Linked DNA regions of Sus scrofa. The protein of the gene in region 1 interacts with the protein of each later gene in a pairwise test. Links are inferred from orthologs where the notes say so. Each region holds a gene or a part of one and is shown on either strand. Other genes may lie near its edges.

Region 1 (3,755 bases):
CTAAGTTTCTGCGCTAGACACTGAAGACACAAAGATAAATATGGCATCTTGAAATTAATATATAGTTTACTTAATTAGGTACCAAAATAGAAAAGAAGCTAAACATGGAGGCTGAGCCTAGGTCCCTGTAACAACTACAGCAGGATCACCTGAAGTATTGGGGTAACATCCCAGACCTACTGAATCAGTATCTCAGGAGGTGAGGTCCAATAATCTGTGTTCTTAATCAACACTTCAGATTATATTTAACAGGAAAGCTGGAGAATCTCCATCAGTAGATAGGAAAGACTGTTTTTAAATGCATAAATATCATGAGAGTAAGAAAAAAATCTCACATGATCTCCCTTAATACAAATAAATTTCTGTCAAAATGTGATCTTGTGTTGCTCACTTCCTCCATCCAAAAGATTAGAAGACACACTTAGGTGGCAACTTGGACACTGATCCCATCTCTTACTAAATTTTCCTTTTTTCACCATTATAATCCTGTACCTAGCACAGTTTGTGGCACACAGTCATTTTCAAGAATTTGTGTTCAACTGATGAATATCCAAAGTAAAACCTCTCCAGGTTGTCCTAGTATGTAGAAATAGGCGTTTTTCCAATTTTAGACTGGAATGGTATGAAGATCATTTGAGTACAAGGAAGATAACACACCCAGGCAAAAGTCTGGTCAACCCACATCTTGTTTTCCTCCCTCTAGAAAGGGTTCCTTCAAACTCTCAGGGCTACTGCCCTTGTGGGGAATATCGACATCCTCCCTGCCACTTCAAAGCTGAGCAAGACCAAGTGGACTAGTGGAAAGGTAAGGTATTATGGATTCTTCTTCATTGTAATCTTCTAGAGGCTTTAGTCTGCAAAGCCCTGGAGTACATTTAAAAATGGATTACCTGCCCCTGAGGATGGTAGACACTCAAGTTATCTACAATGAGAGGTTTATAACAATGGACTCTTGCTGTACCTGACACAGATCTACCCCTCCCACTGGAACTCTGAATTATTTTGCTGGAGGCTACAACATTCTGAGCAGTTTGTTGGGAGTTGACGGGAGGTGGGGATAACTTACCTGGTACAAGCTTAGCAGAGCTGAGCCGCTGCAGCTTGTTGGGCTAGCCTTTGATGCAGACTGGTTGGACGGGTTCTGGATCTACAGAAGAACCGGTCTGACTGGCCTGCTGTGCCAACATATTCTGGTTTGATTCCATGTTCCACAGACGGTAGAAACCTGCCCAGCCAGTTAAATGAAAGGCATATTAGGTTATCCATTGCAAACCTTATATAGCTTAGATGCAGCAGAACTCTTCCACACAGCAGTGGTGTCTAGCAATCTAGCGTGGTCCAGAGAGGTGTCTCCCACTGATTTACTGTGTACGTTCATAGCTGTAGGGAAAGTCAGCAGTGAAACACCTGCTGCTTTTGACCAAGAGCAGAAGTTTTCTAAGTAAATTGAAGGGTAAGTTAATGTATTTTTTTATCTTTCTCAATTTTCTAAGCACTTTCAGAAGGTTAATTAAGAAATGATGTTTAAGATAATCTATTTTTAACACGGTAGTACCTGCATTCTATCTTTTATATAAAGCTGGTTAGATACTGTCTTATAATATTTGTACATATGTTCATTGATTTGTTTAGATAAAGGTTATTTGGTATATAATACACTTCTGCTATAAGTCTTTGTAAAATGGGCATGGCTGTAGTCATTAAGAAAAGTGGGTTGAATAATTTTGCTAAATATATTTTACCTATTAATATAATGATTCATCTTAAGCCATCTACTTCTTTGATAACATACTATTATATTTTACAGGCTGTTGCTATATGGTAATGTTTTATATGGCAAATCTAATTGTGGATAAAATAATAATGGCCTTTTTAAGGCATAAAAAATAGTGCTGGCCTGCCTGGTGATCGTTAAGTACTTTAGAAGAACAATTCACAGCAAGAAATGAGGAGTGTGAAAAACAAAGATTGTGGAATCTGGTAACTGATTAACTATTGGAGCTCAAAAGCACTTGCTGAGCTGAATAGAAAGGAATGAAGACAGGTTTTGTCATGCCTATTAGGTCTGAAAACCTTTTTAGGTTAAAGAATATTTGGGTCTTCCTTTAATTTATATTTTAAAATAATTCTTTTCTCTCTCTCTTTCATTGATCCAAATAATTTATTTTAGTAACCTGTTTCATTTAAAATGAAAATTATCAAGCCCTTTAGATTTGTTTTGGCATACCAAATTACCCCCTTAGTTATTAATATTAGATTGAATTGAGTGCACACATCCTCCGGGCATTCAACTTAACGTATCAGCTGACATATGAAATTTATCTGGAAATTAAAATAACTTTTTAAAACAGATTTATACTAAATATTTTCAAGGACTATCTCCAGGCCATCACATGACTTTCCTTGAACTGAGCAATACTAAGGCATCCTTTTCATAGTCCTTATAGAGCCCTCACTTTGTCATTATGTTCAAACTTAAAGGCTATATGTTTCCTTAGAATGCTAATAAAGAATTTTTTTAAAGTGAGGATGAATGTTCAGATGTGATTTCATTTTTTGCAGGGAAACCTTTTGCATGCTGTTTAGTCCTACCCCAAGGCAATTCTGCATAAAACTTCTGATAATCAGCTAAATTTCTAAAAAGCTATGTAATATTGAATCTGCAAAAGTAATGTGCTGATTCAGCATAAACTGTATTCTGACAATTTTTGGAGAATATAGATAAAAAATTTTAGTTGGTTGAGTTTTTCTCTTTTCAATTAATTTTCAAGCCAAATGTAGATATATGTCAACAGAGTACACTTTTACTGTTTAGAGTAAATATATATAGTAATTTAAGATTTTTAAACCTTGCTTAAAATACTGTTTAAATATAAACTTAATTTGGGATTCCAATTTATTCATTAAGGATTTTTTATGCTTATGGTTTTAAGGAAAGCTATTTAGGAACTAGATGTATATATCCATATAAAATTTGTGGGTAAAATTTCAAGTCTAACTACATTTTGGAGAGGGATTCTACATTTTGGAGAGGGATTCTACAGCTATTACCTATCCTTAATAGGATTTCCAGTTTCAAATATATGAATGTCCTATTAAATACTTTCATGTATTTTCCATAAATTAATTCCTTTAAAATACTGATACATTGTGATGTTTTGATTGAAATTAAGAATATATGGATTAATCAATCAAATTAGAAGTCTATGATTGCCTGTGTGTGTATTTTACATAGCCCTGTATTATCTGAGGGCCCAGGTCAAAAAATGATCTAGTCATTTAAAAATCTTTTTATTCCCTAAGTCTAGTTTAGGATGCATTCCTTTGTCTTTATTCCTGGCCACAAAGTTTCATACAATGACTCTTTTTGTCATCCATGCTAGTTTTCTTAACAACTACATAACCTCTTCCCTTCCTGAATATATTCATGTATTTCCTACCAAAAGCACTTAGAATCATGACATTTTGGGCTACAAGGACTCTTTACAAATAACTAATGAATTCAACTTATTTTTTAGTTGAATAAAAAGCCCCCAAATGTCGCTAACTCACTACTATACAAGCTAAGGGTAGAGATGAGACCAGAACATCCCAGGTTCCTAATACCAGCCCGGACTAATATTTTTTTCACTACTCCATGCAGACTCTTCTGAATACTACTTGCAATTTATTCTGTTTACTAAAGGACTTGTAAAAAGGTAAAATTGGGCTATATAAGGTATGTTAAGGAGTATTTGCTTAACCAAGAAATTATT
Region 2 (3,655 bases), on another chromosome or scaffold:
GTTCCCAGACCAGGAGTTGAACCTGGGCCACAGCAGTGAAAGCAGTAACCATCAGGGAACTCCCTAGAGTCTGATCTTAAAGAATCTGCATAACAGTATTATGTTGTGCTATGAGATTTATGTCTAGTTCTTAATCCTTATTTCATGTAAAGCTTAACAATGAGGTCATAAAGTCTAGCTTGGATATCTCAACTCTAAAGCAGAGAATTAGGAGTTTTCTTGTGACCAGTGAATTGAGGATCCAGTGTTGTCACTGCAGCAGGCTTGGGTTGTTGCTGTGGCATGGTTCACTCCCTGGCCTAGGAATTTCCACATGCCTCGGGCACAACCAAAAAATAAATAAATAAAAATAAAGCAGAGAATTAGATGTTAAATTCCCAAATGTCATCTTTTTTTTGTAACATTGTAAATTGAAATATCTGCTAAGATAGCCATACTATTTCTTTTCTTTCTTTTTTTTGTCTTTTTAGGGCTGCACCCACAGCATATGGAAGTTCCCAGGCTAGGGATCGAATCGGAGCTGCAGCCACAGCAGCACCCCATCCAAGCTGAATCTTGGAACTACATCACAGCTTGCAGCAAAGCCAGATCCTTAACTCACTGAGTGAGGCCATGGATCTAACCCACATCCTCATGGTTACTAGTTGGGTTTGTTTCCCCTGAGCCACATGTTCTTTTATGTGTATTTAATTTCTTTATGTGTAATTCCCTTACGAACTTTCTGCTCTTCCTTTTTCTGCCAAACGGATTAAAATGGTAGAAAGGAACTTCAGCATCATCAAGGCCATGACTGGTGTTATAAAATCGAGAAAGCTAATGCTGAGAAATTTTAAGAGAACTCTTTCAATAATGTCAGATTTGGGATATAGGTGAGAGATCTTTCTTTCGATTAGTAATGAGTTTAGTGTGTTATGTAGAACATAGTGTAAGGAGTTTTATACCCATTACTGCAGTTAACTAAACATTTTGATCTTGGGCGAATATCTTCAGTTCTCTGGCCTGTTAATACAGGATGAAAATTAGACCAAATAATTCTAAGATCTCTCTTGGTTCTAGAAGTCAGGCATTTTAACATAATATATGCATTTTACTGTTTGTCTTTTGCCTGTCAGGGAGAAGTTATACACTGGTTGGCATGTTCATTATATGTTGCATGCCGCAAAAGCATTATTCCCACGGTTGGAAAGGGTATCATGGAAGGAAATTGTGTTTCACTTACCAGAATACTACGTTCAGCTAAATTAAGGTAAAGCACTTTGACTTTTTAAATACTGCTTTATAAGTCCTAGATTTAATTTCTCTTTATTTTAAATTATTTAACTTCATTCCATTCTAAGCTTATCATATGGATATCTTTTCCCAGTTCTCATATTCTTCCTCGGCCTTTCTTCCTCATCCTCAAATTTATTTATTTATTTTGCTTTTTAGGGCCAGACCCGTGGCTAATGAAGGTTCCCAGGCTAGGGGTCAAATTGGAGTTACAGATGCCAGCCTATGCCACAGGAGGATTCGTTTCTGCTGCACCACAATGAAAACTCCTCTTCCTCAAATTCTAACTTCAGAGACCTCTCTTCTAAATCTTTTTTGGAGTTCCCGTCGTGGCTCAGTGGTTAACGAATCCGACTAGGAACCCTGAGGTTGTGGGTTGGATCCCTGGCCTTGCTCAGTGGGTTAAGGATCTGGTGTTGCTGTGAGCTGTGGTGTAGGTCGCAGACGCAGCTTGGATCTGGCATTTCTGTGGCTGGGTGTAGGCCAGCGGCTACAGCTCCAATTAGACCCCTAGCCTGGGAACCTCCATATGCCTCAGGAGTGGCCCCAGAAAAGACAAAAAAAATCTTTTTTATCTGTAATTCTTTCATTAATACTTTAAATTTGAGAATAATTTAAGCTTCCAGAAAAGTTGCAAAAATAAAACTACAAAGAATATCCATATATATATGCTTGACCGGGATTCACCTTTTATTGACATTTTACCTTACTTGCTAAATCATTTGATCTTTTTCTCTTAAATAGTATTTTTCCTCAACTATTTCAATTTAAGTAGTGTCTACTATAGCCTTTTATCCATAAATATTTCAGCGTGTGTTTCCTTAAATAACTATAGTACAGTTATCAACTTCAACAAAGTTAACATTGATGTAATAATATATAATCCACCATCTCTATTCCAGTTTTTTTAGTTGATCCAGTATCTTTTTTTTTTTTTGCTGCATCTGCAGTATATGGAAGTTTCTGGGCCAGGCATCAAATTTGAGCCACAGCAGTGACAAAGACAAATCCTTAACTACTGGGCTACCAGGGAATTCCTCCAATAATATTCTTTTTTTTTTTTTTTTTTTTTTTTTTGTCTTTTTGCCTTTTCTAGGGCTGCTCCTGCGGCATATGAAGGTTCGCAGGCTAGGGGTCTAATCAGAGCTGTAGCCGTCGGCCTACACCACAGCCACAACAACGTGGGATCTGAGCCACGTCTGCAACCTACACCACAGCTCACGGCAACACTGGATCTTTAACCCACTGAGCAAGGCCAGGGACCGAACCCGCAACCTCATGGTTCTTAGTCGGATTTGTTAACCACTGAGCAATGACGGGAACTCCCAGTAATATTCTTTTTCTTCCCCTTTGTTTGCTGTACCCGTGGTTTCCTGGGCCAGGAATCGAGTCCAAGCCACATCTGTGACCTGTGCCACAACTGCAGCCTGCCAGGGATCAAACTGGCAACACCACAGAGATAAACCAGATCATTAACCCACCTCCCTACAGCGAGAACTCCCAGTAACTTTTTTTTTTTTTTTTTTTTTTGCGTTTTAGGGCCTCACTCATGGCATATGGAAGTTCCCAGACTAGGGGTAGAATCAGAGCTGCAGCTGCCAGCCTATGCCACAACCACAGCAACTTAGGATCTGAGCTGCAGCTGCGACCTCCATTACAGCTCATGGCAATACCAGATCCTTAAGCCACTGAGTGATACCAGGGATCAAACCCTTGTCTTCATGGATACTAGTCAGGTTTGTTTCCACTGTGACACAACGGGAGCTCCTAGTAACATTCTTTATAGGATTTTTTTTTTTTTTTGCCTTTTGCCTTTTCTTGAGCCACTCCTGCGGCATATGGAGGTTCCCAGGCTATGTGTCTAATCAGAGCTGTAGCCGCCGGCCTATGCCAGAACCACAGCAATTCGAGATCCAAGCCAAATCTGCGACCCACACCACAGCTCACAGCAACGCCAGATCCTTAACCCACTGAGCAAGGCCAGGGATCGAACTGCGACCTCATGGTTCCTAGTCGGATTTGTTAACCACTGCACCATGACGGGAACTCCAGGATTTTTTTTTTTTTCCTTAAAAATTAAAAAAAAAAAAAAATTCCATTCTAGTATCAGGTAATGCATTCACTTACTGTGTCTCTTCAGTCTTCTTTAATGAGGAACATTTCCACAGCCTTTATCTTTTATGACGTTGATATTTTTGAGGAGTATAGTTCACAACCACCCTGCCCCCGCTTTTTAATAGATTGTTCCTCGCTTTGGATTTATTTCATGTTTCTTTATGCTTAGATGCAAGTTTTACATTCCCAGATGGAAAACTGCATAAGTGCTTTTGTGTCCTTAGTATTCATATCTTAGAGGTACATGATATCCTTCTACCTCTCATTGTTA
Region 3 (3,655 bases), on another chromosome or scaffold:
GGCCCTCACTTTTCTTCCCTGTTCGAGGTATCCATGCTGTCATTCATTTTCTGCTTTTGCATTCGTGTTCGAGTAGATGCTAGAAAAAAGAGGAAGAGATGTTAAAAGTGCTGACGGCGCCGGGTCGGTTGAGAAAAGGCTGCCACATATGTTCATGACAAGACTTCTAATTTTGTCTTCGTTATCATATATCCTTATCGGTAAATTTTTTTCCAGGCATGTACCCCCAAAGTATGTATGTATTTATGTATATGTACATAAATCATAAGGCACATGTAGCCCACGTGTTAAAAATCGATGAGATTAAGATAAATATTCTAGCATTTTCTTTATGTACACCAGAAGGTGGTCTTACACACACAGCTGTGCCCAGCTCTGTGGACCGCGGTTCGAGAGCGCGCAGTTCAGTTTGGCACTTGAGCAGAACAAGTCCTGAGCTGGTTCCGAATGAGCTAAGCTAAGCATTCCCTCGTGTGGGGTGAGGCGTTGCAGGTACTGCACACAGATCTGCTCACAGCTCCCTTAATTTCGACATGGACGTTTTAAAAGTACATCATTCATGACAGCACAGACAAAACCAGAATGCTGCTTTTAAATTACTTTAAAATTCTTAACTTGATTTTAGAGGTGGCCAAGAGCTCCTCCTAAAGAAGCACGAAGAACATTCACCCTTGGGAAAGCAAGAAAGCGGTGACGCCACGTCTGCCCTTCCGGCCCTGCCCCTCGGAGCAACGCAGCCCTGTGGGATGATCTTTTCCGAATGCAATTTTTTGAGGAAAGCTGAAGAGCAGCCTGGAGAATTCCTTCGCTTCATGGGTCAAAGCCCCTGCTGCCTCTCCCCGATTTTCCAGCTGCACAAAGGCCCTGAACTTGAGCCTGGCAGAGGGAATTCACCAGCACAGCTAAGTGTGTCACTGGGAAATGTACTGACTGCAACAACTGAACCCTTCTATAAGAAAATATACATGTTTTTACAGCTTTCTGCTCATTTTCAAATGCATATTTGTGGGCTCCAAAATGCTTCCACATGTTTTTAAGGCCTGATCTTGGTTATAAGCTTCACCTCTCTTTTCATGTGCTTGGGGAAAGCTACAACTACTGGAAAGTTAAAACAGGCATATATCAGTTGATGTAAAACCCAAAAAGATTCATTTATAACCAAAACACTTAAACTTGTGGTATATTTAACAGTAATCTTCAAAATAATACACTTAGAAAAAATGGTTTAAAAAACCAAGAGTATTTTAAAAACTACTTCATATTTTAAAGTTAGTATCTACAGAGAGGTACTGAAGGAAATCCCGTTTTTAAAAAGTCACATTTTAATTGATATTGTCCGTATAGATATGTCCTATGACCTAGGAATGATAGTTTTAATTCTTATCATCTCCCCAATATATCTGTCTTCTTTCCAAGACCCGTCTCTGTTTCCTGTTAATGGAGCTGGCACCACATTATCAGGAAAGGTCACACTCGCCCTCGTGGCTACTGCTTGAAGACAGCGCCGGAGCCCCAAGTGCTCAGGGGCACCTTCATCCTTTTCTGAGTGAACCTTCCACCTACTCCGCGTGGGTTCATCTTTACAGTCTCAGAGGAGCTCAGAAGAGAATCCCATGTGCCTTAACATTCCAAACTTCTGTCACTCTCTATAACTGCGAAAATGACCTGGTCAAAATTTTGCTTGTCAAAATTCTGATTTCAGGTAATGGAAAACTTTTGTTTGCGATTAAGTTCTAAAACTTGCAAATTAGGAAAGTTCAGTAATATCAGAAAAAAGGTGATGTTTACATATGGTAGGTTTATAAGGTTTCCCCGACATCCAACACTCTTAGACAAGAGTTCCTCATTATGGTTCTGCCAGCCTAGAACATTTTCTGACCGCAGCCATTCAAGCTGAAGGTGTGGTTTCTCTTCTTAGTCTTCCCACACAGTCGGTTCGAGGAAGGCTGCCTTGTGCCATACATTTCCTCCCCAGATGGCTGTAAATAACACATTCTTGACTGAACTGTATTTTAAATGCATGAACAAATCTGCTAATTGAAGGGGTCGTATAAATTTATTCTTTTGTAGTATGAAAAGGCTTTCTGCAACAATTGTTCCTGTGCATTAGGTGAAATAAGTACTTACTCATTTCTGCCAGTTTCTGTTGAAATTTAGACTCTCCCGGGAGATGTTTACTGCAGATTTAAAACATGAAAAATATTTCATATGTATAAATGGAAAACTTAAATTTCCAATAACTATGGTGCTTTTGATAACTTTATGCCCTTATTTTAATCAGTAGCTTTTAAGTTCAAAGGTTTATAAATCAAGCATCTAAAATATAAATATCACAAATTTCTGGGCCTACATATTTTTCAGTGGTTCTTATAAAACAGTGTTTTTCAAGAGTAAGCATTTTAAAATCTGTTAGTAAAAACAATTTTTTTTTTTAAAGCTGACAAAATGTTACCAATAGTTTTGTAGAAAATGATTGAGGCTTTTTTTTTTCTTTTTTCTTTTTTGGCTGCCCTGAGGCATGTGGAGTTCCTGGGCAAGGGATCAGATCTGAGCTGCAGTTGCAACCCAAGCTGCAGCTGTGGCAATGCTGGATCCTCAACCCACTGTGCCGGGCTGAGGACTGAACCCGCGTCCCAGCGCTGCAGAGACACAGCCCATCCTGTTGTGCCACAGCAGGAACTCCCATCAGATTTTTAACATCTGATATTTTCAGTGAATGTTGGTAGATTTCCGTGGTGCTTTTTGCTTTGGGATGCAGCCATCCTTCCCAAATGAGTTGGCATGAGGGGACCGTGGAAGCCGGCAGCAGGGAACCCCTCAGCTCCCGGGAGACATTCTAAGACCACCGCTACCTTCCATCTGCTTCATCTGCTCCTTCGATGTCAAAGCGCAGCTTTTTCAGAGGTTTAGGAGGGTTGCCTCCTTCAGCACTTCTTTTGAGCACACGGTCGCTATTACACACCATCTGATTTATTTTCTGGAACTTCTCCGAAGTCTACGAATTACAGAATTCTTTATTTTAAATCATTGAATGCCAGCATTTTGTAGTTAGCAACCCCTAATTGTAGTCTGAGGTGGGTCAAAAATCCGGGACAGGTAATATCTGCATTTTAATTTTCTGTTTTATTGGGCCAAATAAGAAATAGGTGCAATTACTCTGATTTTGAGATTTTTCCCTAACTGCCCCCATTAAATACCTCCTGTCTCCTCCCACACAGCAGTTCCTCTTCCACCAACAACTCTGAAGTCCTATTTCCTCATTTTCAGACTTAATTACACGAACAACTAGGTTACTTCTCAGTATCAGTTAAAGCTGGAACAGCTTTAGGAACATTATCTTTGACAGATTCCCTTTAGAGCACAGCAGAGCCAGGGAGGGTGTCACAATCGCATGAGAGGTGTCCAGTGAATAATAATTTTGGACTCACTTCATGGGTACCAGGTGGACAAGTCATGTGGCTTAGATATTGTAAACCATCACTGATACAGTATTTGCTGATATCCTAACTCAAAGTTTTACAAATATTAAGTATCCCCCCAGAAACAAGCATTTGAGTCTATCCAGTATCCCTAGAGACGATGTCTCCCGAGAGGCATCCTGTACCAGCAAAGGAGATTTTGTAAGAAATACCAAACGGGGCTCAATGTCTTATTG

The links.
Region 2: the proteins of RBBP8 (region 1) and RBL1 interact in a two-hybrid assay, tested with the Homo sapiens proteins (2 studies listed by BioGRID and IntAct). The link is inferred for Sus scrofa from reciprocal best matches to the Homo sapiens genes RBBP8 and RBL1.
Region 3: the proteins of RBBP8 (region 1) and RB1 interact in a two-hybrid assay, tested with the Homo sapiens proteins (2 studies listed by BioGRID). The link is inferred for Sus scrofa from reciprocal best matches to the Homo sapiens genes RBBP8 and RB1.

What each region holds. Positions count from the first base shown.
Region 1 is NC_010448.4:107,922,698-107,926,452, forward strand, and holds the start of RBBP8 (DNA endonuclease RBBP8), read left to right. Parts: upstream 1-1,271; 5' UTR 1,272-1,453; intron 1,454-3,755. UniProt on the Homo sapiens protein: Endonuclease that cooperates with the MRE11-RAD50-NBN (MRN) complex in DNA-end resection, the first step of double-strand break (DSB) repair through the homologous recombination (HR) pathway.
Region 2 is NC_010459.5:40,272,583-40,276,237, reverse strand, and holds part of RBL1 (retinoblastoma-like protein 1), read left to right. Parts: intron 1-1,112; coding exon 1,113-1,246; intron 1,247-3,655. UniProt on the Homo sapiens protein: Key regulator of entry into cell division. Directly involved in heterochromatin formation by maintaining overall chromatin structure and, in particular, that of constitutive heterochromatin by stabilizing histone methylation.
Region 3 is NC_010453.5:19,188,553-19,192,207, forward strand, and holds part of RB1 (retinoblastoma-associated protein), read right to left. Parts: intron 2,996-3,655; coding exon 2,853-2,995; intron 2,178-2,852; coding exon 2,128-2,177; intron 80-2,127; coding exon 6-79; 3' UTR 1-5. UniProt on the Homo sapiens protein: Tumor suppressor that is a key regulator of the G1/S transition of the cell cycle. The hypophosphorylated form binds transcription regulators of the E2F family, preventing transcription of E2F-responsive genes.